2 linked regions of the Coturnix japonica genome follow. Each later gene encodes a partner of the first gene's protein in a complex. Links are inferred from orthologs where the notes say so. Each region holds a gene or a part of one and is shown in the gene's direction. Other genes may lie near its edges.

What was found.
Region 2: the proteins of INSR (region 1) and GRB14 are in contact, whole or in part, in a crystal structure (PDB 2AUH), measured with the Homo sapiens proteins. The link is inferred for Coturnix japonica from reciprocal best matches to the Homo sapiens genes INSR and GRB14. Residues at the interface, in NP_000199.2 of Homo sapiens: Leu1065, Arg1066, Ile1069, Glu1070, Lys1112, Arg1116, Arg1163, Met1180, Arg1182, Tyr1190, Lys1192, Gly1193, Gly1194, Lys1195, Gly1196, Leu1197, Leu1198, Pro1199, Val1200, Trp1202, Ser1207, Leu1208, Lys1209, Asp1210, Gly1211, Gln1235, Asn1242, Glu1243, Leu1246; in NP_004481.2 of Homo sapiens: Glu373, Asn374, Ser375, Leu376, Val377, Ala378, Met379, Asp380, Phe381, Ser382, Ser386, Val388, Ile389, Glu394, Val398, Ala399, Glu401, Glu402, Gly403, Leu404, Trp406, Arg407.

What each region holds. Positions count from the first base shown.
Region 1 is NC_029543.1:3,192,732-3,208,389, reverse strand, and holds the start of INSR (insulin receptor), read left to right. Parts: upstream 1-7,342; 5' UTR 7,343-7,578; coding exon 7,579-7,654; intron 7,655-9,752; exon of another isoform or gene 9,753-10,784; intron 10,785-11,033; coding exon 11,034-11,585; intron 11,586-15,658. Other genes in the region: vesicle transport protein USE1, read left to right, coding at 89-107, 781-811, 1,001-1,163, 2,169-2,351. UniProt on the Homo sapiens protein: Receptor tyrosine kinase which mediates the pleiotropic actions of insulin.
Region 2 is NC_029522.1:26,422,542-26,437,512, reverse strand, and holds part of GRB14 (growth factor receptor-bound protein 14), read left to right. Parts: intron 1-3,711; coding exon 3,712-3,833; intron 3,834-4,595; coding exon 4,596-4,670; intron 4,671-8,163; coding exon 8,164-8,301; intron 8,302-8,951; coding exon 8,952-9,062; intron 9,063-9,256; coding exon 9,257-9,352; intron 9,353-9,875; coding exon 9,876-9,956; intron 9,957-12,153; coding exon 12,154-12,270; intron 12,271-12,369; coding exon 12,370-12,427; intron 12,428-12,516; coding exon 12,517-12,604; intron 12,605-14,971. UniProt on the Homo sapiens protein: Adapter protein which modulates coupling of cell surface receptor kinases with specific signaling pathways. Binds to, and suppresses signals from, the activated insulin receptor (INSR). Potent inhibitor of insulin-stimulated MAPK3 phosphorylation.

The sequences.
Region 1 (15,658 bases):
GAATCTGTGATTCCATGTGATTGTTCCTCATGAACCTTTTCACTGGCCCTTTGTAATCTTTTCTTTTGTTTCTCTTCCTGCCTCCCAGGATCCCTTGGCTCTCAGTGGTAAGTTCAATCTCCTTTTCTTTAATTGACCTGAATTTTATGAGTAAAGAAAGAGGAAAGTCAGGTGTTAGAGGTGTATTTCTAAATTACTGACTCACTTCTTGTCAAGATATAAGATATAAGATATAAAAGAAACACTGAATAGGTGAGAACATGAGCAGTGTTACCTGTACAGCAGAGGAGACTTGCAGGAATTCATGCTGAAACAGGTGTTTCAATTGTAGCATTAGCAAGGAGGGTTTGTGTTTGTCATTGCCAACGTTCTCTTCTGCTGTGAGCAAACCGTGTGATCTCAGGAGCTAACATACAGCCACGTTATTCACGTAGGGAACTGGTAGGATTTAATTTGTGGTTTCCATAGCTACTGTAACAGTGGCTGGAATGAGGCCAGTCTGAGTGTCCTGGAAGAGAACAGCACAGCCCATGGGCGAAGCCGAGCCCTCAGGGAAGTGATTCATCTCAGGTGTTTTATTCTCCCAACCAAACGTTTGCTGTTATGTACTGTCTTTTCCTGGTGGAAAACAGACGTTTGAAATCCACGTTCCCTGGTGTAGAACCAGGCCAACTGGGATTACATCTCTGGGAAAGAAAATCTTTCAAGGAACTTGTTTTATCAGCCTGTGATTGTGCAGTGTTGAGTAATATGCTAAAACAGCATTTATTTTTGTTCCAGATTCTGAGGAGCTGAATGTAAGGAAGCGGAAGTAAGTCAGAATTCCTTATTTTGATGCTCCGTGCCTTGGGACTGCCTTTCCCAATGACCTTAAATCACAGATACGTTCCCATTTGGGTGAAGTGCGTGTTGTTCTGTCAGAGTTGTACAACCTGAGCTGACCTCCCAGTGGTTCCCCATAAGTACAAATCCCTATTCTTCTTTCCTTGTGCTCTTGCAGAGGCCTTGTGTCTGATGAGAAGCAGTCAGCAGTGGAGCTGGATGCTGTGTTACAGCACCATCAAGACATGCAGGAGAAGTTAGCGGAGGAAATGCTGAGTTTGGCTCGCAGTCTCAAAAACAACACTTTGGCTGCTCAGAACGTGATAAAGCAAGACAACCAGGTAGCGTGTGTGACAATGCTGAACTCTTCAGTTGCAATCTAGGAGGTTAAGTCGCTCATATGTAAGAAACAAAAGCTGAGACTTCCAGATGAGGTTAGAATGAGGGGAAATTTGCAGGCAGTGCCTGTCTGCTTCTGCCATGCAGCTGTGAACCTTTTCTCTGTTGGAAGAACTGGTGATGAGAGCTTTTGAATTCAGAATTGAAGGTGTTCTGTCTGTAAATTATGTGTTTGAGACTGCTGGTGCTTCACTTTGACAACTGGAACTCTTTAAAATGAATTTATTTGTTAGGACCTTGTTTTTTTCACAACTTACCTACAGGTAGTGCAGTCATCCCCATGAGATAAGGGAGTCCTTACTGCTCAGGCTGTCAGCAGCATTTGATCTCAGTCCTGGGAAGGCTTGAGCACATTTTACCCTTCATGTACCCCTGCTGATACTGATGAAGGTATCAAAGGGACTTTGCTTTCAATGCTCTCCTGTGCTCTTCAGCTACCACTTAGCCACAATAGAGACCCGACACCAAGGCACAGATGTAGGAGACAAGGTAGTTTTGGGGGAAGAGGTTTAATTTGTGTCATCCATGTCAGAAAAGAAATAGCATGCACTGGGATCCAGCAGCTGTGAACACCTCCATTCAGGAGAGCCAAGAGAGTGACGTTTTGAAGGCTCTAGACCACTGCTGACTTCAAATGTAACCTTGTAGCTCTTCAAGAGCTTTCTCACGTCACCTCACTGACGTTTAAAAACAGTGACGGACAGACAGTGTTCACAGGCTCTTGGCTGGGCTCCTTTCCTGTTGTGTTGTGGTCAGGTCTGCCCATTGGTTCAGTGCATTGTCACAGCCATGGGAGGCCAGGGCAGAGCATTTATATAAAGCATGATAAATCCTTTAGCGTTCAGGTCATGAAAGCTTCCTCATTCATAGCTGAACAGCAATGAAGTGGGGTGTCCACCAGGTAAAAGATTGTTGGACTTAATGGACCAAATTCTCTTTGTTCCCAGACGCTGTCCCACTCTCTCCGGATGGCAGACCAGAACTTCGAAAAGCTGAAGGATGAATCTGACCGCCTTGAACAGCATGCAAAGAAATCAGTCAACTGGCTGTTATGGATGATGTTAATTGTCGTTTGTTTTATATTCATCAGTATGATTCTCTTTATCAGAATTTTCCCCAAACTAAAATGAAGTCAGAAGGCTCAGCTGGCGTGATGAGTGTCAGTAAGAACAACTGCCACCTGTCCTGTCCATGGCCTCCCCTCCCACCTTTTCTTGGTACTTTTTGGGTACTTTGTGACATGTTTCTCCCCAGTTAATATCACTGCCTGTTGAGGAAAGAACCTGGTTAAAGATAGCAGTTCATACTGAGCTCCTAAAAGATTCCTTAGCAGATGGATACACTCCTCTGTTTTTAATGTGGTTGTGGCAAGTGTTACAACTTCTGAAAGGCATTACTCAATAGGGATATAAATATTGCTCCGTCAATGTCTTAATTCTTTTTCTTTAACAGCTTTGCTGTGCTGGGATCTTACTGCCAACAGGATATTTAATTACAAGGTTGTGTGCATACACAGCTGTAGGGTGTAGGAAAAGAACGCTGCTATTGAGTTGCTGTCCTGGCTTGGATTCAGAGAGTGCCGACAGGTAAAATTGTTCTCAGGCTCACCTTCTGCTCAGAGGAATGTTTGGTTTTGCAGACTTGTTCAGGTTGGTGTTACTGTGGGAGGGCTGAAGTTGTGTTTGCTTCCCTTTTCAATGCACTGATGTTCTCCCTCATTGTCACTTATGTTTTGCCTTTGCATAAGGAGACGCAGTGGCAGTGTGGAACTGTACACACAGTACACCCTGTACAGTATAGATCTCCCTGTACAGGTATTTCAAGGAAGACTGAAATAGAAAGGAGGGGGGGGAAATCAGCCATTACCTCTTGGGACCAATTCTGTGGTCAGAAGTTTCCTGGTCCAATTAGGATCTGTAAGAGATACAAAGTAGAGCAAACTGTGTAAACTGTTACAGCTGGAAGAAAATAACCTGCGATAAAGCAGGGTTCACTGTAAGAGTCTCACGGCCGTTCTCAGGTGTTGGTGATTTAGCTGGAGCTGTTCTGCACCTGTGCTGCCCTTTCTGGAGTTACTGTGAGGCTGTGGGTGTGTGTTTGTGTTCATGCATGCAGTGTTGGCACTGGAGGAGCTGAAGAACCTCCCATGGCTGCTGTGCTTTTCACCATTTGCTCCTTTGGACCACGAGGTGGGGATAGTTCAGCTTCTCCGTGTGTGGATGCTGAGCGTCTCTCTTAGAGCAGAGTGCGGTGCTGGAGGTTTTTGTGTTGATAGTGGGATGTTACAGTGAAAAAAAGCCCTGGAAGGGAAGTAGCAGCCGGCCCTCCAGAAGCATTCAGTCCTCCAAATCAACATGAGTTGCCATTTAACTTCACAGTGTTGGCATTTTGTGGGTGTGTGATGGGATTTGAGACTGAACCCCATCAACCCCATCACTGCTGTCACACAGAGCAGTGCCCTATGGAGGATCATCACCTTCTGCACTGATGAACCAAAGGGATTAATTGCTCCTGTGGGCAGCTCTCCTGCACACAGTGATTGCTTTGTCAGTCAGAAGTTGCAGTCTTTGCTTTTCTTCAGTTCCTTTAGTAACGATGGCAATTCGGAGCTGCTTTGAAGGTCTGTGTGGAGGGTATTATATAAGTCACAGAATGCAGTCAGTGGGGGCACAGACAGACCTTATTTCTCCAGGTAATGCTGGTGGTGAGCTCAGTGACTTCAGGCCTCGGCCCCATGTTCTGTTGTGGGGTTCTGATGTGCTTCACTTCATGGGCTGGTGTTACACACAGAGATGGCATTCTGCAAGCATTGCCAAGTGAGAATTGCTTAACATTCCCAAAGCTTGGGAAATCTACATGGGGAGATGTTTATCAGACACAGGGCTGGGCCCTGCTCTGCAGAACACAACTCCAAGCAGCGAGTAGAAATAATAACTACTGCTAATAGTGCTGCTGTCAGAGACTTGGGCCATGTCAGGGTGGTGAACGCAGCCTTCCTGAGCCTTGCATCCTCAGGTGATAGCTCTCAGGAGGGGATGGATGGAGGTCCCATCCCTCTGCTCACCACATGCTGCTCCACCTCCCTTCTCACTGACTCCATCGTAAACCTGAAATTGAAACCTCAGAATCCAAGTCTCAAGCATGAAAGAAACATCAGCCATAATAATACAGCACGAAGGAGCAGAAAACAGCAATCAAAGCTCTCAGTCTGCAGCAGTGCTGCTGCCATTCCCAAGGCCTGCAGCTTTGTGCTGGCTGCTCCTCACTGCGGGTCGCTGTACTGAGCTGTGCTGCACGTTCCCATTGACCAACAGTGACATGACAAACCATGGGAGCTGAATCAACACCACCTGTCACATGAGACCACTGTGACATTTCTGGCACGATTGCTACCTCTTAATAGATGGAAGTGGGAAGCTGCAGCAGCTTGTGAATAATGGATTAGATATGCTTGATTTGTAACATTTACAAAGAAAGGGTGTGTCTCCTAGCGACAGAACAAACTGCTTATCAAAGTGGGAACTAGGAGTTCTATGCTGTCCAAAACACAAAACACGAGATAAAGCAACGTGGAGCACAGGGTTATGGTCTGCTGAGCTCTGCTATGCTGCCCGGAGGGGCCATCCCTCCAATTCTGACCCTCGATTAGCAACAAAAGTGCATTAGTTAATTAAAAAAACAAAGAAAAACCCCATGCAAACTGTAGCTGGGAACTGGCACAGCCAGTCGGTTGCCTGGGGCACAGTGTGTGCATACGGTGTGTGAGAGTGACGTGGCTGCAGCCACTGATGTGCACGTGGCTGCTGATAGAGAACTGCACACCAGGCATGGGGGGGGAGCTGGGGCTCTATGGAGCTGCAGGATGCTGGGCTGTGGGGCAGGATATGGGGCAGCAATGGTTGATGTGGGGCAGGATATGGGGCTGGGCTGTGGGCTGGGCTGTGTTTCTCTGCTCACTGCGTGTGCTGAGTTCAAACAGGTTGTAAGGAATGGAAAGCATCGCGTGACACCCAACCATCAACCAGGACAAAAGCTGGAGCTGCAATGGGCAGCGCTGCCATTTCCTGAGCTCCTCATCCCTGGCGGCTTTGAAGCCACGTGGCAGAGATGCCCTCTGCCATTTTCACCTCAAGCAAAGGTTGTGTTTGCTCACGTAGCGATGGAATTATCTGGAAGGATCTGACAGCGTTTCCTGTTTCAGCAGCAGAAAGATGAGGCTTCTGCCCTCAGCACGGAAGGCGGATGGGCCTCGTCCTTAGAGCTCCCTCCCTTTGGGAAGACAGCGCTCACTTATCGGATTTGGTGCGGACGGAAGGAAGGGTAAGAAAGGAGCTGGGTCACTCTGTGACGTGAAATATTTTATATTGGGAGATCTGGCAATAGTTCTGCACGGCTCCAAACAGGATGAGATGCGATTCTCAGGGCCAGCTGTGCTGTGCTCAGTGCTAGGCCTTGCAGAGCAGGCTATTCCAGAACCTTCTGTCCTCATCCTGCCAGCCATGCTCACATTGAGCTGTTGTTGGAAAGCAAGAAACTCTTCCACATCCCCAAAGAATGGGAGGATGGATGGTGTGTGCTGCACACACATTTGACTCAACAGAAATAAGGCAACCTATGCTTTGTTCCAAGCAGAACCATCTCCTCCATGGGGTAACTCCACCTCAGCACCCAGAACCTGCTCCTAAGAAACACATACATGGAGAGGAGAGAGAATGCTTAAGGAAGGAGTTGTACTTGATACCTCAGACTAATGGTTTTAGCAGTGTTTATTCAGTTGGAAATGAGAGAAGAGCACGAGGTGCTGCTGTTGGGAACAGAACCAGGAACATGCGGGTGCTGCTGGGTTATGTGATGGCAAAAGCACGATGGATACGGAGCACAGGCTGCACACCAATGGTCCTCATCAGCAACCAGAAACTAAAAATAGTGTTTGAGTGAAAGAGAATGGAGCTGCAGCCTTTAATCCTCCCCATTCCCATCGGTAAGATGATATTATTATCACATGGAAAGCGAGGAGAACGTGAGTAAGCAGAAGCAGGTTGCTATTACAGTCACATTGTGGATTCCACGCAGCTCTGGGGATGACGTGTGGCTCTTTCTGCTTTATGCAGAGGCTGATATGAGGCAGGCTGAGCTGCAAGCATGGAGTGCAGTTTTGCTGCCCATTCCCACTCCTGCCCTCACATCTTGCAGTGTTCTGGACCGAGCAGAGTTCTGAGTCTGTGGGGCTCATAAATAGAACTGGAGTAAATGACAACAAGAACAGACCTGGGGGTCTGTTCTGACACACAAAGGAAGGCAGCGCTGCTCATAGGGCCCTTCATCTCAACATCCCAATGCTCTGCAAAGGGTTTGGAGCAGCCACAGCTGCTGATCTTTGCGTGCAGGTGGCTTTGAACCAGGCCCTGTCCTTACCCCGTCCAACAGGGAAACATCACAGAGGGGTCGGGTTGAGCTCCCCCAGAACGGCTGTGGTTTCATTGCTGCTCCTCCTGTTATTCACAGCGATGGGAGAGCCCCGTGGCTCCCTTCTATAGGGATTAATGGCACAAATACTTCACACAGCTCAAACTGTCTTAAAGCAGCTCAGCACCTGGAAGCCGCAGCCCGGTGCTGCTCCACGGGGGGAGGAGCAGAGCGGTGAGAGCCGAGCAAAGCTGATGGAGGGACGAAGGTTTGGAAGAAGCTCTTTAACTGAGCGGGGCAGAATTAGCAAAGCTTTATTCCCGCAGTTGACGCAACTCCACGTCTTGTAGAAATGGGTGGTAGCAAAAGCCTGATAAAATTACTGGAAGTTGCCAGGAAACGTGCGGTAATGGGGTAATGGCTCCGTACAACCGAGCGGCGAAGGCGATTAAAAGAGGAGGAAAAGGACTCAGACGCTGCGTCCCTGCGCAGGAGCCGCCCGGGCCGGTTGTGCTGGGCATTGCTGTGCCGGATCCCGGCGGCCAACACGGCGGCACCGAACGGTTCCGCTCCGGTTCCGCTCCGGTTCCTCTCGGGCCGTTCCCCTCCGCGCTGAGCGCAGCGCCCCGGCCCGGCAGGTGGAAGCGGCCGCTCCGCTCCGCCCCCCGTCCCGTCCCGGCTCCGCGCCGCCTCTTGCCGCCGCCCGCTCGCAGCTGACGGGGGCAGCCCCTTGTTTACTGGGCAGGAGGCGGCCGCCCGCCCGGCCTGCGCTGGAGTGGCCGAGAGCCGCGTCCTGAGCCGCCGGGCCGGGCTCCGCGCTGGGGTCGGCGGCCGGTTCCTCGGGGCTCTGCTGGACGATGCGAACCCGAAGCCGGGCCCGGCCCCCGCGCCCGCCCCGCGGCCTCTGATTCGCCCCCGCCGGGACGCGCCGAGCGGCTCCGGGACGCGGCCATGGCACCGAGAGCGGCGGCGGCGGCGGTGCTGGCCGTGACCGCGGTGTTGGCGGCCTGCGGCGGCCGCGCCGAAAGTGAGTGCGGGCGGGGAGCGGGGGGACCGAGGGACCGAGGGGGAGCGGGGCCCGGGCTGCGGCCCCGCACGGCGGCGGGGAGAGGCGGCCCCGGAGCGGTACCTTTGTACCTCTGCCCGGCGGGGCAGGGCCGGGCCTCGGGGCGGGCGGCGCGGCCTCAGGAGCGGGACAGCGGGGCCCGGAGCGCTCCCGTGGGGGGCGGAGGAGGGGGGAGGTTCGGGTGACCTTCATCGCTCGGTTCGGCGCTTCGGCCCCGGGCGGGTGGGAGGCGCGACGGGCCGCGGCTCCGCGGGTGCTCCGCGTTCCTCCGGGGCCGCGTTGGGCCGCCGAGCCGGGCGGAATCGCGGGGCCTCCGCGGCGCTGCGACCATCGGCCCGTCCGGCCGCGGCCATCGGGTGGGTGTTCGGCAGCCACGAGCCGGGTGCGGGGCTCGGGCCGACGCGGGGCCCACATGGGGCGACCCCGCAGCAGGAGCCGCCGCGCTGCGGGACGGGTCGCGTGGGTGCGCGGTGTGTTGTGTGTGTGCGTGCGGGCGGTGAGTCCTGGTAAAGGTGAATGTGTTTCTTTGGAGGAAAGCACGCGGGTCCCACGGCCTGTCGGCTTTGCCACCAGCAAAGGCAGCATAGAGAGAGAATAGCTCCAAATCCACCCAGCGCAGCGATGGGCATCGCTGAAACGTCGATACACAGTGAGAATAAAGCACAGAATGCAGCACTCAATGGCTGCTCGGCTTCTCCCCGCTGTGTGCTGCAGAGCCCCGTGCTGTCCTCATACAAAGGTTTGGCATGGAGGCCTTAAAGGCGACCCCGAGCAGCTCCAGAGGAGCACAGCTGGCTGCACACACAGCGCTGGGCTGGTTGGTGAATAGCACTGCTATTAAAACACACGCTGCTCCAGCACAGCAGTTACTGATTTGAAAGCACTGTTATTGCTGCCACACCGAAACGCTGTGTTTATGTGCTTATTTAAAAGCTAATTCTGCTTTTTATTGCAAGTGTAAAAAGTGAACAGCTCGGATGGTGCTCGCTGTGTTACTCCACAGTAGGAAAGGAAATGTGCTGTACAATTATGGATGGAGAACAGGAGCGACACAGGAGGTGCAGCAGCAAAACCTGGGCTGGAATGTGTGTCATTCACAGCACAGACACTGCAGCAGAGATCTCACAGCCTCTGCTGCGCTCAGGTCCCACCTCGAAGGCTCTGCAATATGTGCAATGTGTGCTGCGTTCTGTGCTTCCACTCGCAGTGTGGGTTGGGGGGATGCAGTACAAGGGCTGTGTCAGCACACACGTGTTGTTCCCTGAGCAATGGAGCTCGTGGATGCTGCATTCTGGGCTGTGTCTGCTCCCCACTGATGGTATTCTCTGCTCCTTGAGCCTGTGGTTCCCCAATGATCATCTGCGATGGTCTGTGGGCTGTCTGTGTCATCCTGGCCCCATGGTGCAGACCCATGAGCAGCAGCTGTGTCTTGCTGAGGTCCCAAGGTTTGGTTGGTGCACTTCCATCACACTGCAGTGTTCTTCTTGGGGGGGTGTAATGAAACTTGTCTATCGTGATTCATTTATTTGATTATTATTTTTTTTAAAGTGATTTTGTTCTGAGTAACCAGAGATGGAGGAGCAGCTCCTCTCTGGCAGCAAAGCCAGTCATTACTTCGCCTAAATCTGCTTCTCGTTGTCCTGGTAACAGTAAATGCACGGCTGACTTAGCAGCTGTGGTGTGCTCTGAGCTGCTGCAGAGTGGGATTCAGACACACGATGGGGTTGAGGGCCCTGAGACAGAGAAGCAGATTTGGCTTCATGTGGTTACGGCTCCTTCTCGTGGGTCCTGGAGGTGCGAAGGAGGAGTGTGGGAGCTGTGGGTGATGCTCAGCACATCAAAACTAACCTGGAGAAGATAATGAAAGATAAACCTTAAACGTGATTCTCTCTAAAGGTGGAAAAATCTGGCCTGAGCGTTTGAATCTTCACAGGTTTACCATCCCAGCACCTTCTGTTTGATTGGTTCAGATACAGACCCATGATGTGCTCTGAGTGCTCAATGTGGGTGGGGGTCTCAGTGCATCCAGGGGCACTGAGCAGCACTCCTTGGCACTGCCATCACATGGCAGGGAGCCCCTGTGGGCTGCTCCCCGACTGCTGGGTCTGGTCTGAAGGGAGCAGCAGACCCTGTGCCTGCCCTGCTCCCCGTCCGCGTGTGGCTGGAAAGCAGTTTGTTCTCCTCCCGATCTCCTTTAGGTCTCTGAAGCTCTTCCACTTGGCACCGCTGAGCTGTGATTACGTTCCTCTTCCTCGAGTGAATGTCAGGAGCTCGTTAGAGGCTGCAGTGAAGTCAATCACTTCTCAGCACAGGCAGATTGTTGGGTTCAGAATGAAATGATTCAGAGACAAATGTGCCGATTTTAATTGTTACTAAAAAAAAACCCACCCCAGCCTTGTTGCACCGATGACATTTATTCTAGGCCTTTCCTTCCTCCCCTTCCAGCCCTAATTCTGCCATTCCACGATGCTCTGTGCCCCCACTTCTTCTTGCAGAAGGCATCTCTGATGCTGTGTGCTCACAGCAGTCCCAATGGGCACTAATGCTGCTCTGAGTCCCACAGCAGCACTGCCAGTTTGAGGCTGGTTTTTTTTCTCTCATTGCAGTTGAGCAAAGTTTTAAACAATCATTAAGACGTTTGCATATAAAGTATATTTTTAACTCACACAGCAGTGACCTTTAGTGCACCCACCAGGAGCTGGAGAGTCAGAGCTATCCAACGTCTGCACGTGCCTTAATTTTATAAGGCTTGATTATTGCCAAGTGATTTCTCGAAGCTTCATTTTACAGTCACTGCTCTGTATATACAGTGAGCAAAAAAGGTAAATATCCTGCGCTGTTAATTCTCAAGGGGAGGATGTGTTCCTTCTCTTCCCAGTGCTGCCATGTTCTCCCCATTGCTCCTTTCCTATCTTCCCCTCCCCACCACCATTCTCAGTGACCCCCCCAGCACCAATTGCACAACGCAGTGAGGTAGTTGTGTCGCTGGCAACTATCTAAAGAAAACAGACTGTGTTGCATGGACACCTCCACTTCGGTAAACGCTGAGTGACGTCCGAGGCCCGGTGCTGCCTTTCCAGTCGTGGTAGAGGTAATATCCACAAACTCAAGATGGCAGAACGTTATGAAATCCCCATTGAGTCGTGTTTTGTAATCATATACCGGGGAGTGTTCCCAGCTCTATTTCTTAACGCTCGCAGCGTGTTTTGTCGCACAGGACCCGTCCGTGTAGTCTGAATGCAGCTGCATTTTAGGATACAGTTGGAAGAATGGGTGTGTTTAGCCAGCTAACGGTCACCTTTATAAGAACAAATAAACAGCATTGTTCTTTGCCTCCCAGTTTGCAGAAGCATGGACATCCGCAACAACCTGACCCGGCTGAGCTTGCTGGAGAACTGCACGGTGATTGAGGGCCACTTACAAATACTGCTGATGTTTAAAACCAAGCCTGAAGATTTCCGCGAGCTCAGCTTCCCCAAACTGACTATGATTACAGACTACTTGCTTCTGTTCCGTGTGTATGGCCTGGAGAGCTTAAAGGGCCTCTTCCCCAACCTCACGGTGATCCGAGGAACACATCTGTTCTTTAACTACGCGCTGGTCATCTTTGAGATGGTTCATCTAAAGGAGATCGGCCTCTACAACCTGATGAACATCACGCGCGGTGCCGTGCGCATCGAGAAGAACAACGAGCTGTGCTACCTGTCCACTATCGACTGGTCGAGGATTTTGGACTCCGTCGAGGACAACTACATCATCGCCAACAAGGATGACAAGGAGGAGTGTGGAGATGTGTGTCCTGGGACGGTGAAAGGGAAGAGCAACTGCCCACCCACCGTCATCAACGGCATCTTCATCGAGCGCTGCTGGACCCACGACCGCTGCCAGAGAGGTGGGTGAGCTGCAGGGCAGCTGAGATGCTCCCATCAGCTGTTACCCATCCATGTGAATAACGTGCCCAAAAGTGCCGTGTTTGGGTTCCCTGGAAAGTCAGGGGCTTCCCAGAGCTCCCAGTTGTGCTCTATGGGTGTAGCTGTTGTCTGTGTCCTAGTATTAGGAATTCTTTTGGGGCTGTGGGATTAAAAGCCTGGCTCGATTGAAAGGCGGATACAGAGCAGCAGGGAAAGGTCTTATGGAATAAAGCTGACTCCGGAAGGATGCAATAATGCTTTTACTGAAACCTTCCTGCCATAAAAAGGTGTGAGATGGGTGGGTGGGTGAGCACTGTTTGCACACAGCAGGAAGCTGGGAGAAGGGGAGGGGAGGAAAGGCCGGGTTTGGTGCTGCAGAGCTGTGTGCACAGCTGCCATCCCAGCCCCCAGACTCCAGTTCTTGACGTCCTTAAGGTGGCTTTGAACTTCATACAGGTTTGTTTCTTCCAAACTTGAAGCTGACCTTAATTTTGGTTGTAATTATACGTTTGGTTTGATTTATGTGAAATCCACCCGACGAGAAGCAAAGCGAATTGAGGTGAAAGTGACACATTCAGAGCTGTCTGTCTCCTCGGTGGTAGTGCATCCAAATGAAGCAGTGTGTCCTAAGATGAAATTAGGAAACTTGTGGGCTGAGGAAAATTTCTTGCCAAGCTTTAAAGGGCAAATCCGAGTGCTGAGTGCCAGATTTCAGAAGGAATTCCTTGCAGTATGCAGCAACTAATGAAATTAATGTGGTTTCCCCTCTGCTGCTCCTCACCCCAAATTGTCTCGCTTCCTTTTAAAGAAAGTGGTTATTTTTTATTGCTGGAATAAGAGGCTTTGAGCAAGATCATGTGAAAGTCTGCGTGTGTTTCTTCTCTGAGAGGAAACGTAAGGTTATGAAGCATTTTAGTTTGGAAGCTCTTTTGGTATACAGCCATTATCAGCAGTGCACCTGGTTTGCTGTGCGTTCATGGTCTGTTTTCTTCTGTTGCCCAGAGTTAGAGGTTGAACTGAAGCAGTTTTCTGTGTCTGGAGCATTCATCATCCCTCATTCCTGCGAGTTTTGGGGCTGTGCTGCAGCAGACTGGGACGTGTGGCTCTTCTCCTTTACGTGACTGTTTATTTCCATGAAACCTGGAGGAATTTAACATTGCACCTCTGGGGCAGAACCCTGCGTTCTGAGCCCCTCACATCAGCTCAGCGTGGGGTCCTGGGGGGGGATAGCAGACATTGCCCCACGCTCCATTACCAAAGGGAGCCAACCTGAAGTATCCATATGGTTGGAATTGGAATTTGGGGAATTATTCCAGGTGTTGCTCTGTGCCAAATCTCCTTTTGGTTTTCCGTGCTCCTTGTCCTTGGGGCAGTGATGCTGCGATGCCTTTATTCTGTCGTGGAGGTACATTTCAAAGGCACCTGAGTGAGTCTGACGTGGCCTTGTTGTGAACGCTGCTTCGTGCTCTCATTGGCAGCTGGTGCTCACCAGGAGGTGGTGTCTGTTCTGCTCTGTGAGGCCTTTGGCCCCACTAGTTGGTGGGACTGTTTCTGAGCGTTCTTTCAGACTTTGTTTTGACTTCTTTCTTAATTGCCTTTAGGCTTCCACCACTGACTGTGCTGTAGTAGCCATGGCAGAGGCTGCGGTATTTGTTTAGAGAATCTCTTGGTGGAATTGCTGCATTCCCTGTTCTTTGCCAGCCATAACGTATCCTTCATGCATGTAATTGCTTTGTCATAATTATTACGAGCTCGTGGCTTCCCTTTGCCTAAAGAGCTTTGCAGTGGCACTTAGGACCGAGGGCATCAGTGTGGGCAAATCTCTCTGCACTCAGGTGGCTTATCTGGGCCTCTCAGCACTGAATGCTGCAGCGCCCAGCATCCCCTGGCCCTGCCCTCCCTGCCCACTGTGCCCATGTCCCTTTGCTGCTCCTTCTTTCAGCCAATTCCCATCTCCCATTTAACTCCAGCACCGACTGAGTCACAACGTGCTGTTATCTCAGAGCTGCTCCTCCAGTCCTCGGGATCACACTGTGCAGCCCAGCAGTGTTTCAGTTGTTGATAACACATCGGAGGAGACAGCAAAGGGGAAGATCTCCTTGCAGCCATGGGAGCTCAGGCAGCACGTGGAGGAACTGAAAGAATGTGTGGGCAGCTGTGTGCTGTGGGACGGCCAATTGGTGATACTGGGGAGTCTAGAAAGGAACACACAGGGTCCGCCTATAGCAGCGTGCAGGTGGGTGTTGCTGAGGATGTGCTTCCCCTGAACCCTCCTTTCCTTTATTCTGCGTCGCTCGTGTTGGTATGAAAAGTGAAAAGCCGTTCAGCTGAGGCCAACTCATGTTGTATTTTGGGTAGGAAGGGAGAGAAATATGCAGTCGGTTTGGAATTTGGGTCTAGCCTTGTGCTGCTTGTAGCAGCCAAAGGCTGCGCCTCTTCTGGAGGTTCTCTGTCTTTTCAGCCCACGTTTTTATAAGCGTTTTTTAACACAGATGTACTTATTTTCATTGCTGTAGAGATTGGGTTCTTAGTTCAGTGCAGCGTCTTCACTCACAGCTTCTCTGCTGAGGAATCCAGACAAGAAAAATGCTGGAAATGCCACGTCCCAGACCTCAGCTCACATCTGCCAAACATGATTTTCATATTTGGCATTTTTTTTCCTCAATGCAATAAGAGCCCTGTACGTCTGTCACTGCTCCCACGGAAGGAACAGTTCCCACTGCAATAGGATTTCCTGCCAGCTCCCTCTGCGCTCCGTCCTCTCTGGCCGTATGTAATCTGAAGCAGTCTGATGTTTTCAGCAGTCCCTGCTTCGACCTTCTCCTCGTGTGCTGGGTCATCCAGAGGTGGAGGGAGGTAACGGGAAGGAAAAGCGGAGCATCTGAATCAAACTTAACAGGAAAAGGATCCGTAATATCAGACAGCTCCTCAGTGAGCATCTCCTGGGATGGGAGAACACGTTATCCAGAATACAGGGTGCTGCCCTTCCTGGAGCACACGGTGACGTCCAAGTTCTCCCATTCATCCTGAATGAAACCTTTATCAGTTTCTGCCATCTTTGTGATGTTGCGACTTTGTGCTGCCAGGCATTGGAGCATGGGCAGCTCCAATGGGGTTTGTATATAGACTTTTCCCCCATCCTTGGAGGTGTTCAAGACCAGGTTGGATGGGGCCCTGGGCAACCTGATCTAGTAAATGTGTATGTTTGGTGGCCCTGCCAGGCAGAGGGGTTGGAACTACATGATCCTTGAGGTCCCTTCCAGCCTGGGTCATTCTGTGATTCTGTGATTTTCATGTGATTAAAAAGGAAACTCGTCTGTCGGTCAATTAATGCAATCAGGAATTTGTTAACCCCATTAAAAGGCAGTGGGAGGTATATAAAAGGCAATGGAAGGTACATGAAAGCGTTGGGCCCAGCTGAAGAAGCGGGTAGAATGGAGCAGGTAGAACTGAGAGCCTTTTTGGAGTACTTGGCACGTAATGGAGCTGCTACAGAGAGGCGCTGTATGAAAATAATGATGCTTGTCTGGATTTTTGACTGATGTGTAAGCAGGTCTGGAGACAAAGGGTGCAGCCAGATCTCCCTTTCATTTTCCTGTGACCTATCCAGGAAAAATAATGGGGCAGGTGGGGGGCAGGTAAGGATCTGAAGGTTTGCTTTAGCAGCTCGCTTTGTTTCCTGGTACAGACAGCACAACAAAGCATTGCTCAGCCCAAAGTGTTTTTCAGCTGCTGAGAACCAGCACTGAGTGCTTTTCAAGGGACTGTGCCAAAAGAAATGCTGAAAATACGAACATCTTCAAGGCAGGTTTGAATAATAAAGTTCAGAGGTGTGTGTGGGAAACGTTTTGTGATGTTTACTTAGGTAGAAATATTACTTAGCAACAGTTTCCTGTAATTTTTATGTGCTGGGAATTTCTGTAGCCATAAGCTTTGCTTTATTACCTTTCTATGGGAAAGGGGTCTCAGAGCACTGAGCAGACCGAGCCAACCCCAAGGGCAAGATATTTTTAAAGCTTCACACACAAAGCAATGTTTCCAGTCTCTACCACAC
Region 2 (14,971 bases), on another chromosome or scaffold:
CTTAGTTTTGAATTGTCTGCTATTTATTATTCTATGTTAAGTTTTATCCATAGAAATGTGGACAACCCTTTTCTGCTCCCAAGTTAAATGTATGTGATGGGTTTGGAAAGGAGAAATACCATGACCGAGTGCATCAGTATGAAGAGCTTAATAATTAATTCATCGATTAGCAAACATTTTCTTTAATATCTAACAGCTGCCTGAATGCTATTGAATTAGATAGGATTGCGATAGGATCTCAGTGCGCCGAGCACAGCGTTCTGCTTTTAATCAAGACAGACATTAATTACATCACTGAAGCGAGCCTTCATCTGTGCACACAGATACCTGCATGTGAAGGTTAGAAAAGAAGGAAGTAAGTTAAGCCCAGCAGAGGACACAACCCCCCCCTTCGCCCACGTGGAGGGTCGCGGGGCGTTGCGGTGCCGCTGCCACGCCACGTCTGGCCGCCGGGTGGTGCCCGCGCTCCGCGCAGCGCCGCTCCGATGTGGTTCGGTGCCCGGGGAGCGGTCGTTCAAGCAGCGCTGCGCATGGCGTGACTCGGGAGCGGTGCTCCGGGAGGTGGCCTTGTAGTCCAGGAGATTGAATTCAATGGTGCTGTACTCCTCCACCTCGCCTGGAGCTGCTGGAGGCAGCTGGGGCGTGCCTTGGATGAGCCGTGTCCTTACCTGGGGGCTCCGAATCCTGCCTCCATTGCCATTCCTATGCAGGGCTGGCTGTGAAAAAGGAGAGTTCTGTTTCCATAGCCGTTTCCTTCTGCAGAGAGAATACTCCTTACCCTGATTTTTGCGTTTTTGCTTTGTTTGTTTGTTTGTTTTCCTTTTCCGGTGAGAATATTGTGAAAGTGAGCAGTTCTCCTCTTGTTTTTTTCGACAGATTTCTCTTCTGAGCTTCCTCTGGGTACCCCAGAGTCCCTTGGCCAGGCACCTAAACTGCCTGTCACTTCTGCTTCCCATTTGTGTTCGCTGTCTGAGTTCACATAGGCAGCTTGTGAGAAGACTTTTGGTTTGGTGGCCCTGCTAGGCAGGGGGGTTGGAACTACATGATCATTGAGGTCCCTTCCAACCCGGGTCATTCTGTGATTCCCCAGATGGGAAAATGCTCAAAGTATTACCTATGCAATAGTATGGGGCAAAAGCATTTCCTGCTTTATTTTGCTTATCTCACTACCTCCTCCCTCCAGCTGGGTAGCTAGGGAGGAGGCCACTTGGAATTTGTTCTGTTGTACACTTCAGTATTGAATCTTCTTCCGTGTGCTTTATTGACTTAACACGGTTAAGAAGCATCTTTGTTTAGGACTGTGGCAGGTGGTTGTGGTGTTGCAGACAGTGAAGATGAAGAGCTAGCAGAGAGACAAGGAGGAACCCTCCAGTCAGCTGGGAGAGAAAAAAAAATGATCTAACTAAACCAAAGTGCAGCTTCCTCATGGCAGCGGGTATTGATTTGACTGCAGGAGTGTGTTCTGGGGTGCACTACCTCAGTGTTTCACTTCCTTTAACGAAATGAGTTGAATAAATTGTAAAATATTCGGTGATGTTATGCCTTAAAAATAAAAACGACAGCATCTTTACCCACCCATTGGGGTGATGCAGAACGTCTTATTTTTGTACCAAGAAGTAACTCTTGAGGAAATGGTATTTTCTTAAATGTCACAATGCCAAGCATTCAGGAGTTTTAAATGTCATCCTAGACGAGAGCTTTCTCTGAAAAGAAAAAAAAAATGTTCTTTTTATGTAAGGTCTTCAATTCTTTAGTGTCTCTCCCCCTTGCAATTGAAGAATGTGTTTTGGAGTAGATCCGCCCGTCCAACCTTTTAAAATACTCTGCTTTATTTCAGTATTTTGGGGGGTAATTTTTGTGTTTTCTGGGTTGCTGCATGATTTGTCCATTTGCTTCATTTGATCTTACAAATGCAAGTTTTGTATGGGATCTTTAAACTCCATCTTTACGGGCTTAAAGAATGAGTTAAATTCAATGGAAGCTTAACTTTTCCCTGCTTATTATGTAGATCATAAGTGTACTTTGTCTTCTGCTAGTGGCGAGCTTGATATTTCTGTACTGAGGCAAAATTTGCCATCATGAGCATATTGTCTCTAAACTTGCTAGCTGGAAACCTCCTGAAGAAGCTTATAGATATGCAGGCTACAGCAGGCTGCAATTTAACAGGCTTCACAGTGTAGAAGCATGAAGCAGTGACTGATGAAGAAGGAGGCGAGAGAAGACAGTAAAAGAATGCTGTAGTTCACAGAGGCTCTGTTGTGTTTTTTCTTTTACTTTCTGATATTTCAAATTTGAGGTTCGATTCTGTTATTCTTTTAGAAGGTTTTGTGTGCTGCGATTCATGAAAGTCACTCTCTTTGTTTAGCAAGGACCACCTGCAAAAACTTTGCTTTTATTATGATGTTAATTTCACATCATGCCTAATTAAGTGTGAAAAACAAACAAAAAACCAAACAGCACTATTTCACCTCCTACCCTAACTTTCCTGTTGCAACTCTTAAAAAGTTTTGAGCAACAGAGCATCAGAATTCACTTGAAGTACATCATAGATCTGATAATGAGATGAAGTCTGGGAAATGTGATCAGAAAATTGCGTGAGTTGCATGGTTTTTATAATACATTTTAATTGCCTTTCCCCTTTGAAAGTATGATCAGAATCAGATGTCAAAACTCCATAATTGGCAGGAAGAAAGATGTTTTGTTCTTAAACCTACACTGTGAGCTGTCTCGCTGCGTTACTCAGAGTATGCAGCCCTTGAACTTACACAGCACATCTACAGGAAGGTTCTTAGATTGTGTCTTACTTTAAATGTATATGATCTTGCTTTACAAGAGGAAAATTCCGTCAAGAGTACATGCTGCAGGAGCAGTCTAAAATAGTGAGAATACTGATTCTGCCCCTCTGTGCTCCCCCAATGTGCTCATAAAGTACAAACAACTGAATTGTCTTTTCTTCCATTCCCTTTACCTGCTGCTAAACCAAACTGTACATTTTAGGATTCATTTAGTAGCCATTACATTTCTGTTTTGTTTTCATTTTAGGTTTTTGTTTTTGTTTTTTTTATTTTTGCTTTCACCCTTTGTTTCTTGAATGCTAGTGCTACACCTGCTAAAGTTCTCAGTATCCCTGGTTTGTACAAAAAAGCATTAAAATGCCCTGTGTGCATCTGCGGTTTTAGAAATGCTTCAGAACATTGCATGGACCAAGGAAGAAGGCATCTTTTCCATGTTGTGGACAGTTTACAGTGTATGAATGCTGCATTAGAGACAAAGGTGTCAGAAAAACATTCCTTATGTCTTAGGCAGGGTGGACAGAGATGAGCTGTTAAGGTGATCTGCTTCCTGCTGCCCTGGGCAGCACATGTCAGGAGCTGCCTGGATTCTGTTGCATGGAACACGTGGATTGGTTTGTGTAATGTACAGACCCTGAACAACAAACCAATGCAAACAAACAAGAAAACCAGCCACAACATGAACTACATCAGACATTGAAGCTGAGCCCAATTCAGTGGGAGTGGAACAATAACTTGGTGTAACGTGGACCTAATTAATGAATTGTGTTCAGATTACTGGTTTAAAGTTTTGTAACATACATTATTTTAATTGTCTGACCTCTCTGTTTTCATGGTTTGCTGTTGTGCTCTTAGGTGCAGATTATGTGCTGGATTAATATCATTATGATTGATATATATATATCATTTTTTTTAATAGGAAGAGCTATAGAAGACCATGAGGTAGTGATGGAAGTCCAGTCAAACTGGGGAATGGAAGAGGAAAACAAATTTTATTTTAGGAAAAATTATGTCAAATATGAATTTTTTAAAAATCCGGTGGTAAGTCGTAACATCTGATACGTGAAATGGTGTACATGGTGTTGCTGCAAAATAGCATTTCCTGTTAGTGCAAGTAGGCTGTAAGGCTGTTAGTGTAATGTGAATTTAAAGGAATTATTTGGATGGTATATAAAGAGTGTAAGAATATATTGTAGTGTATGTAGCTGTTGGCCAATAACTTTTTTTTTGGGGGGGGAGGTGCAAAGTGAGAGACACAGACTTCCTTGAAATTTGCACACTGTGGAATTTTTGACCTCTCCATATTAGTGTAGTCACATTTCGGTTCTTATTCTTATAATTCCAAGTAGACCGTTCAGAACAAAACCCCCAAAAACGTGAAAGGACTTGTTCTCTCTTAACAGGAGTTATAAAATATTTTGGTAGGATTCTAGTGTAATAAAAATAGTAGAAAACTGTGCTTTCCAGCATGTTGGTGTGTATCATCCCTACTTTGCAGCATGCTGAAGCCCCTGGTGAGTCCTAGTTGTCAACAGCTGTAGAAATTACTACTAGAAAAACACTGGGGGCCAGGTATTGCAATATGACTTGCACTGCTGTATGAAACCTTTTTGCTTTTGCTCATATTTCTAAGTTACTCAGCAGATAACACATAGTCACAAATTTAGGAAGGATACTAAAGTAAGCTTTTTTTTTTTTTCCTTAATTTTTATTTATTTATTTATTTATTTATACATCCAAAAGAGAAACAAAGTTTAATATTTATTTTTTACAAAACTTTGATATGAATTATTGTCATTGCAGAGCTTTTTTCCTGATCATATGATATCTTTTTCAAGTGAGACCAATGCAGCTGTTAAACACTCTGGGATATTACAGGTACGTAACCTTTAGAGGAGATGAACCATATATTTTGCAATTCACAGTTGTCTATATTGGGTGAGCACAGCTCTCTGTCACTGTAAGATCTGATGGTAGTTTTTGTGTAGCTCAAAACATGGTTAATATCTTACTTTCCTTATGAAATATGGAGTATCCCTTCCAGACAGTTACTATATGACTGTACTTGGAAATTGGCACATTCTTACAGAAACAAATGTCACAGAAATAGCTAAAATGCAGTAAAGAAAAAAATGGCCAACACCTGTATTGAATTCTTCAGGTTAAAGTTTTCTTGAAAGATTGTAGTGCTGGAATAATTATGACATACAGCAGCACAACAGTAGAATACTGAGAAATTGGTGATGTGATACAAATGGATATAAAAAAGAGTTAAATGTTTGAACTTAATGAGTAGAAAATTTAGACTGACTAGTATGATTTGTTAGCTTGAAGGCTACTGTAACCTTACAAAAAAAAATGGTAGGTCACTCAGTGTTAGTCATCTTTTAAGTGGACACAAGATTTTAATTTACAGTGGGAATAATTTCACAGAATGACCATATCAGGGATCATCATCTTACTTCTGAAAGAGGGGAAAAATGAGTAATAAAGGTGGAAACATGCACATCACTCTTGTTTGCTTGTCACTGGGAAATTTAATTAATAGAAGAACTTTCACTGGTCTTAAGACAACAACCCTGTGTGTGAGTTTTGGGGATAAAGAATGATTGGAAAGGCAACACAAGAGGGTATATTTTAAGGTAGAACTAAAATTAACATGGAAATTAAAATATACTTCTGTGCATCTACACAATACATTCTACCAGTAAATGAAAAATATTAAAGAACTAAATTTCAAGGCATTCATCTGTACTAAATAGTTATATCCTTACATATATATTTTCTAATATTTATCTATTTGCTAGTATTCTCTTATTTATATTTTAATACACACATGTATATATATTTAACATAAAATATTTTATATTTATGTATTACATATATTAATACGTAAAAAAGAGGATGCTAACAAATAGATAACCCCCAAATGTAGTTTTAAAAGTTCTGCATAAATTGTAATTGCTGCATACTGTGTTATATGAATCATTTATATGAACTTAAATAAAAATTCTGTAACATCAAAAGATGTTACGTCTTTGATAAAAATTGACTCAAATTTTATGTAGCAAATAGATCATGTAGTTTAATGCAAGCATTTAATTTCGTCATCAAATCTCTTCCCCCTTATTGTGAGAAATTCTTTTTTTTTTTTTTTTTTGCTTGCAAACAATCTCATATTTGAGTATTTTAAGATGAAACTGTTTGCCATTTATACCCGTGCACAGAACCTCTTTCAGCCCGCAGAACAGAACATATGTGGTATGTGGAAAATGTGCAAGGCTTGTGGATCAGATTGAGAATCCTTTTGAATATATATATAGTTCTCTCCAATTTTGTTAAACTTGAAAATTGCTTGTGATCCCTCATCTGTTGCTATTTTATGTTGTATTGTATGTTTAATTGCATTTGGGCTAACAAAACTTGGTAGACATAAAGACCCACTCAGATTTGTAGCTACCACGTTTGTTTCAGCAGAAGCTCTTCAGTCAATAGTTTACAGTGGGTTGCTATTTCCTTGGAAACTTTCATTAAGACAAGTTAATGGTCTTGTGTTATTATTTGTGATGTGCTCGGTCAGGTATCAAGAGAGACATTAATCTTAACAAATCAATGCTTACAAATGATTAAAAAATCACTTCTGATACTTTTATAGCTTTTTGTGGATTGACCTGTAAGCAAGTAAAATGTTTTTCAAGTATGATTTTCTTGACTTTCACAGAAAGCAAAAGAGGAAGTTTTTTTGTCTCATGACTTTAAATCAGAACATCTAAATGGCCTTAAAAAAACAACCAACAGCAAACAAAATGTATACCTGCCTCCTCTCTATTTAGCATGTGCTAAATAGAATCACTGGTTCCAAAGTATGCCAAATGTCTATATGCAACAAGATGGGGTATTAATCTTAGCTATAAAGATCCTTAGCCTTAAAAAGTAAACAAGTTTGTGATTATATTGCTTAGAGCGTGAGCGTTCCATATGCATGTGTCTAGTTGCAGTCACTTTGGGTTACTTGGAATACATATTTACTTATTTTTGCAAGTAGGATGCCTTGAAATAAAATCAATGCAGTATGTAGATTTTAATTAGAAACCTCAATGACAATGAAATATTCTATTATTTTTATGTATTGAGGGTTTTTTTTGTTTTGTTTGAGAACTGGTAACTCTCAGGGGTGGGCAACAAATTCATTCACTTGGTTTGATTAGATGTGAAACTTGTGTATAATTTTAAGTAGGACTTGTGACTTGTTTAAAATGTGGTCTGTTTCTTGGAGCATCTCTTGGATGTGCATTGGCATATTGGAAATATGAATTCCTTTGCATACATAGAAATTGGAAAGTTCTGGGTTAGTGTGTTTAGGTGTCAGTCATAATTCTGATTGGTTTTACTGAAGGAAGAGGAACAGAACTGAATATGTTAAATGGAATTAGAGTACAATTTTGTAGACAGAATAGAACTATATATTTGGTCTTCACTAGGTGACAGCTGTATTGCTCTCTATCAGTGTCTGGCTAAAATGGCTAAGCAGAAGTCAGTGGATGTCTTGAGCAGAGACTGTGCAATTAGCTGAATTGCACAAAATAAAAAACTGAATTAGCTCCTCTTGGTGCATCAGTTAATTTCTATCCATATCATTCTGACTTTCCAAGGGTCTGTGACTGTGCAAGCCTATGGTTCTGAAGACAAAAGGGCTGACCTTCTGAGTCTTTAAACCCCTCCTGTCTTGCTCCTGATGCAGATTTTTTCAGCCAAAAGCTCTCCACCACATGACCTTGAATGCGGGCAGTAAATACCTGCTGTAGCTCTTGGTACAACTAAAGCACCCGCTTTAGCATCACATAAGGTCCAGAGACCTTATGTTTCCTCCTCTTTAGAAAATGGTAGTATCCTCCAGACGCGTGTGGATTTGTGATAAAGAAATTTTGTTTGCTGAATTAATTTTAATTCGCATCAGTTCCCTTTTTTGGTCTGTAGCAGGCAGGGGAGGGTGAGGAGAGATGTCATTTTTTTTCCTTCTGTTGGTAGCATTGATTTGCAGTTTTATAAAAATAGGGTCTGAGGTATGGGATCAGAACTTCTTACACTGGTTTTGTTGCTGAAGTCAACATATTGCATAACTAATGTTCTCATTTCAAACCATATGTTCCATATAAATATGTAGCTTGCCTTGCATACCTTGGAGTTATGTAATAGTCTGTATGCTTTAAATGAGAGGTACTCTTAATGGGGTTAGATCCAATAACTGAATTACTGTGGTGTAATAGTGTTATCAGCAGTATATTCCTCTTAGTCTTGTCTGAAGATGATAATGAAATAGCAAGATGACCTCAGATAAAAAGAGAAATGTGTGGCTGATATTTTCTTTCAGATGTTCCTAAGCTCCAGCACATATCCTGAGATTCATGGTTATTTACATGCAAAAGAGCAGGGAAAAAAATCATGGAAAAAATTATACTTTGTTTTGAGAAGATCTGGCCTTTACTTTTCCACTAAAGGTACATCTAAGGTAAGGCAAGGAAAAAAACACCAGAGGAAAGAACTCTGAAGTTAGAGTGCGTGTATATGTATTTGTCATTTAATACAGTATTAATTCTAATTTAAATTGTACATTATGTGATTAAAAAGGAAATGTTTTGTATTCTATCTATTGTAATGGGAAAGATTCTTCTTATTTATTTATTTATTTATTTATTTATTTATTTATTTTTGCCTGACTTAATTAGAGTTATCTTGGAAGATGGAGGTAATAGCTACAAGTAATACTCAACAGTAATTACTGCAGTGTGATGTTTTTCAAATTCTAAAAGTATATTTTATTTTGATGGTTGAAATGAATTCTACTCCCAAAACTTCCAAATTCTACTCCTACTGTGACGTGAATCTAGTAGATATTTTCCCAGAAATCTGATGCCTTCTATACTTCATGTTTTCTGTCTGGAAGAGCAAACTATTTGACCAGTTTAAGGTATTTGTTCTCTGCATTAAGAAGTGAATTTTGAGTTGCCTCTTTCTAGATTTCATGAGACAGCATCACAGTTAAAACTGAGATGTAAGACCTTATTTTGGAACAAGAGAACTGCTGTACTATTCTGAGTTTCTTATCTGGAGATGCTAGCTAAAAGTAGTCTAACTGTATTACATTGCTCTTCTTTATAGGAGCCAAGGCATCTGCAGTTTTTCTGTGAATTCAGCAATAGTGATATATACATGTCTTTGACAGGCAAAAAGATTTCTGGAGCACCAACAAGCTATGGATTCTGCTTTAAGGTACAAGCTTATCATTCTGATACATATTAAAGCAAGCCACAGTTTTTCGGTAAGCTTAAGTTTCTTTAAGGCTTTTGAAAACAATGTTCAGCTGTCTGTTATAAAATAGGAGAATTAGTGGCTTTTATTTCAACAGGTATTATCTTCAAGATATGCTTTAATGCTAAAAAAAAAAATGTGCTGTGGCCTTCTAGCCTAACAAATCAGGAGGAACCAGAGACCTGAAACAGCTCTGTGCAGATGATGAACAAAGTAGGACCTGTTGGATGACAGCAATAAGGTTGTTTAAGGTAACTTTTCTGTGTGGAGTTAACTTCTTTCTCAAGTTTACTATGTTAATTTTTATAGTGTGAAGTAGGGAAATAACATAATTATAGGTTCCCATGTAATAGCATTATCAATGCTATCAATGTACGACAAAAGCTGAAGTTTCATCTCACCAGACAGGCCAAATTACTGGAATAATCGTAAGGGAAGGGATGCACTTATATGTAACTTTGCTGAACTTAGAGACAATGTTGGTAATGGCAAACAAAGCTACAAGAATACATGAGATGTTTTAAAAATGTGTTTGTGGAAAAAACAGGTGTAGGTCAGTTGATGTATTAAATGAGCAGAATTTCATGTAGAATGTACGTTTAGAAAAACTAAAGCAAAAACGATGTTGTTTTTCATTATCTTAACAGCATTTGTCCCTACTTTATAATGATAAAAAATCATGGAATCATAGCATTGCCTTCTACACCTGGAAGAAAGTTTCTTCGGCTCAGGCTTATGGTTTAAAATGCTAACCATATTATTTTCTGTTTTTAGTATGGGATGCAGCTGTATCAGAATTACATGCAACCATATCAAGGTAGAAGTGGCTGCAGCCCTTTGAGTATAACACCTATGGTACGTCCCACAGTAGCTCCATGAGTAAATATACTGTTTCTGCAGTCATGCTATTTTTAAGTGACTTTTGCCAGTTACACTACTGACCTGGTCCTGCAGATTTTAAATGTGCTTTGAATGTGTGAAATCTTTAGGGGCATCTGAGTAGATGAGAGAGCTAATTAATTAATTTACTTATTTAATATGAGTTGGGCAGTTCAGACCAGTTAGCAGGCTTTTCTCTTTTGTCAGATAGTCAGTATTTGGGGAGTTTATTGGCTTATTATCACTGTCAGTGAGGATTTAAAAAAAGTAGCAGAACTGTAAATGCATTAAAAAAGAATAACGTGCTTAAGGTTACATGTACTGTAAACGATGAATAAGAAAGCCTTAACAAATCCTTTTCAGTATGCGGTAATGCTTCTGTCTCTGTCTTTTTTCTTTTTTTTTTCTTTTTTTTTTTTTTTTTTTGTAACTGCCCCATATGGTTATTTATTTAAATTGGATTTAACCTGTTGTGATACTGCCTGAAGCTCGGAGGAACACCATAATTTGGCAAAAGTGCATTTTGGAGGCATAGCACTCTGTAGACTGATGATCTGTTTGTCTCCTCAGCCAGATAATTTGGGATCAGGTTGTCCTTTTAAAACCTTATCTTACTTATCCCAGTCACTTCTTTTTTTTTTTTCTTTTCTTTGTTTTTGAGTGATGTATAGCACTTTGTGCTTTTTATGGTTTAAATTGTGTAAAAATTGCTTGTTGCCAGGATCCATTATGATGTTTGGTTTTTTTTTGTTTGTTTGTTTGTTTTGAGCTTTTTAATGTAGTTCTTGCTGACAAAACACTTAAGATGTGTATCTGCTTTTATGGGGATTCACAAAAATACTGTTTTCTGATATTGCTGATAAGCACGGCTTCACAATTACACTTAATATACAGACTATTTATACTGTCTGTTACAAGAAGCTAATGATAGCCAGCTGCTACTTTCATAATGGGTGTGGGAGCCATTATTGATTCTGTCTCCTCTTGCACAGCCACATACACTATAGCACATCTAGATTCTAGTGCCAAATATATAACTGGGTTAAGCATGATACAATTATTATACTTGTCTAGAATTTGTGAGTTAAACAGAAAATAAACTCAAGAATGAAGTGATTAAGCTATTGAAAATAGAGAAAGTGTTTTCATAGAGAAAGTATGTTCAGGTTTTCATATTCCAGATTAGTTTATAACCTTGCCAGCAACAAGAAGTTCCCTCGTCTCTCCTAGAGTCAGACACTGTCTTATTCTCCCTATTATTTTGCTTTTGCCGAGTGTCACAGTTACTCAGACCTTAGACTACAGTGACCTGTAGAATTACTGCCTTCTGTTTCTAGTTACCCTTGTGCAGGGACAAAACAGAGCTCCTTTGGTTTTGGACAGAAATCTGGGCCTCCTGTGTTCTAGATGTTACTTCAGTTCCGGAAGGTTCTTTTAATTATTTGTCATAGCAGCACCAGCCAATGTTTGAGACATTACAATCAGCATCAAACAAGTTTTTTATAAACCTGAATTTCAAAGTAGTGTTTTGGTGAGCTTTAAGACCTGAAATTGTTTTTATTCTGTTGTTAAAAACTTGATATTCACTGGGAGGGAAAGAAAAATCAGGCTTTTTTTTTTTTTTTTTTTTTTTTAAATACCAGATTGCATAATTGTTGAATTTGTGCTTGTTCTTTGATGGCCAGGAATTTGAAGGGGAGTATTAAAACAGAACTTAATCTCCAAAGAAGTGCCTGTTTCCAGTGCTTAAATGCAGTAAACTTTGAGGGAAAAATTTTACAATAAATACATAAATTATAGCAAAAAACTTTAATTCTTTGCTTATATGATGATTACGGGTAGGATTTTCTTATTTTATCTTTTTTTCTTGAACTACTTAAGAATAGTTACCTTACACATATAAGTAGAATTTATGTTAAAAGTGTGTATAGATGTATCACAGTTCTGCAAAAAAGATGATTTGTCCTGCCAAGCTGTGAAATTTAGTTCTGTAGCAGTGGACAGGGCTGTACCTGTGGTATAATGAGTTTGGCTGTGGTGGGAAATATTGCAGATATTTGAAACGCTGTTTATAAAACATAGCACTTACTCAGAAGCTCTATCTTAAAACATGGATCATTAGTTAAAATAATAAAATAGAGAAACAGACTAAATCTGTTTTTCTTTTTTGCAGAGGAGCATTTCAGAAAATTCTTTAGTTGCAATGGATTTCTCAGGACACAGAAGCAGAATTATAGAAAACCCAACAGAAGCCCTTTCCGTTGCAGTTGAAGAAGGATTAGCCTGGAGGGTATAAACATCTTTGTTTTATCAGAATACTGTTTCTCAATCTTAACTTATTTATTTTTTTAACAAGAAAATATTGAAATCATTTTTAATTCTCACACAGAGGAGAGGCTGTCTGCGACTCAACTCACATGGTAGTCCGATTGCCATGTCCAACATGGGTATGTGTGATTTATTTCATTACAGAAGAAATGCAGCAGTTGTTTCAATAAAGCCAACGTATATTTTTAAAATATCTTTATTTCTACAGCTATTCACAGATCTCAGTCATGGTTTCATCATAAAATCTCTAGAGATGAAGCTCAGAGACTTATTTTACAGCATGGGCTTGTAGATGGGTAAGCTAATTCTTTAAATAACCCTTCTGAGACATATTTCTAGCCAACAATTCTACTTTTTATTGTAGGAAGGAGATGGAGGAAGAAAGATTTTGCACTTACCTAATAGAAATAAAAATTCTTTTATATAGGGCTATCTGGGGATCAGTTGGTTTCTATTTTATGTCTTTTGGAAGCATTAAAGTGGTGATCTAACACTTCAGTTCTGTCACTGACAGATTACTTGTGTTCTCTCTGAGCCAAGCATCTGAGCTGTGTATTTGCACAATATTCTCTGTGACCTTTCAACTTTGGCACTGTTCTCTTTTGTATCTCTTATTAGTGATGAAAGAGTGAAGGAAACTCGGAAAGCTGCCTAACCTTATTCCAAAATGAACTGTGTAGGGATAGCCATTGGAAAAGGGTATGCCTTTACTTGTAAAATGAGTAAAGATCCAGCTATCTCTTAATGGTAAATAATGAGTATTAGGGTAAGGCTAATTGCTTCTATTTTTCTCTCATTTAAATATTCATTCAGAGAAAAATGACAGAATATACATTTCATTATCAAACCCTGATATTTTTAATTTTTGTGTTTTTATTTCTACTCCTGTATAAATTCTAGACTCCTGTGTAAAATTGGGCCACATTCATTCAATGAGTTATCCTATTAAACATTCTTGGAGCTATTTGCAGATAAGCACTGTGATTTTGGTGAGAACAACAATCCTGAGTGGTCTGTTTAGAATTGATTATAAAATAGTTGTATCAGCAATCATAAACTGGTGTTTATACTCACGAACTACAGTGAAGACATAAATGCATTACAGTATACATTGGAGAAAAAATATTCAAGTTAAACCTTTTAAGGTGCTTAAAAGGTAAAACTGATTCCAAGCAGAGATCTGTTATGTATATGACGTATACTATATATACCAACAAATACACTGTTTATGTGGCTAAAAGAAGGTGAAAGGACTAGTGTAGAAAGGAATAAAGATTTCAGTAGTTGAAATAAATAAATGACAGTTACTGACTGCAGAAATCATATTCCTTTATAGCACTCCTTATTTCTTTTGGATCTACTGTTCAAATGTGGAAGAAACATTTTTTAAGGCATTCATGTAGCAGCATTGCAGATTTTGAACTTTACCCCTTTACATTTAAGGACTTTTCAGTGATAAGTAGTTGACAGGATTGCAAACTGATCGGCCCTCAAATAGATGAATAGGATAATAGCATTTCCAAAAGGCCCATGACAAAATGCAATTGGTCATTCAGAAAATTCCTTTTATATTTTTGAGAATGTTTTTGGAGTCATCCAGCACATCTAAAAAGCTCCCCCTCCAACCAGTATTTCTAAGAGTATATGAACTGCAGCCCTTTCTTGACAATAAAATGATCTTTTAAAAGCTTCTTCAATTAAAGCCGGTTAGTTTTGATAGGGTTAGGAAAGAGTGAAGAACTTTTTATGTATTCCAGCAAACAAAATGACAGACAAATCCTAATCCACCTCCAATTTTTTCACACACTTTGTGATTACTTTGCATGTTGTTTAATGTGAGTCGTGGTATTTTCATATAGAGAACTCAAGTTGGATGTTTGAAAAATGGCACATGCTTATCATTTCCTTTTCTTCTTTTCTCTTTCTGAATTAAAAACAAAGCCAGTTTTTAGTGACAAACATGTAGAAAATATAAGTTTACATGAGAGATCTCACTGTTTTTTTAAAAAGAAAAAAAAAATAATTGATGTCCTGGAAAGGGGTGAAAAGCCACTAGATGGTGAGAGAGAGCTTATTAGGAGAACCTGAATGTACTGAGAAATATTCCTCCTTATCTTACTGTTGTATGGTGGGTTGGCAATTATCCCTCTTTCATAACTGAATTCGTATCAGCGTTCTGAATTAGTCTGAATGAGGGTTTTGATAGAAACGTTTTTGATAGAAACGTTAATCATTCTGAACTCAAAATTTCTTAATTTCAGATGTTTTCTTATGTTTGTTGTAAAAACAGAACTCATAAAATATTCAGAATTAAAACAGTAGTACTCTGTAATTTGGATACAAGTTGTTATCCTGTGAAACTCCACTAAAAGATTTTTCTGTCTTATTTTTTCTCCTGAAATCGCTTCTTTTCATACAGTTGTTGTGCTCTTATTTCTGATATGTGGTTGGGAAAAAGCTGGTGGCTGGTGCTTGTTTGACATCTGCAAGTCTATATTACCCGTTTCTTTTGCCTTCTGAAAAAGGCAAATGCTTGCCAATGACTGTCCCTTCGTTTCTCTTCTTTGGTACATTTGCTAGCTGTACCCACTCCAGACAGTTCAAACTTTTCACTAAAAAGCCGTGAACCAGGTATTTCCCTCTGCCCACCAAACTGTTCTTCC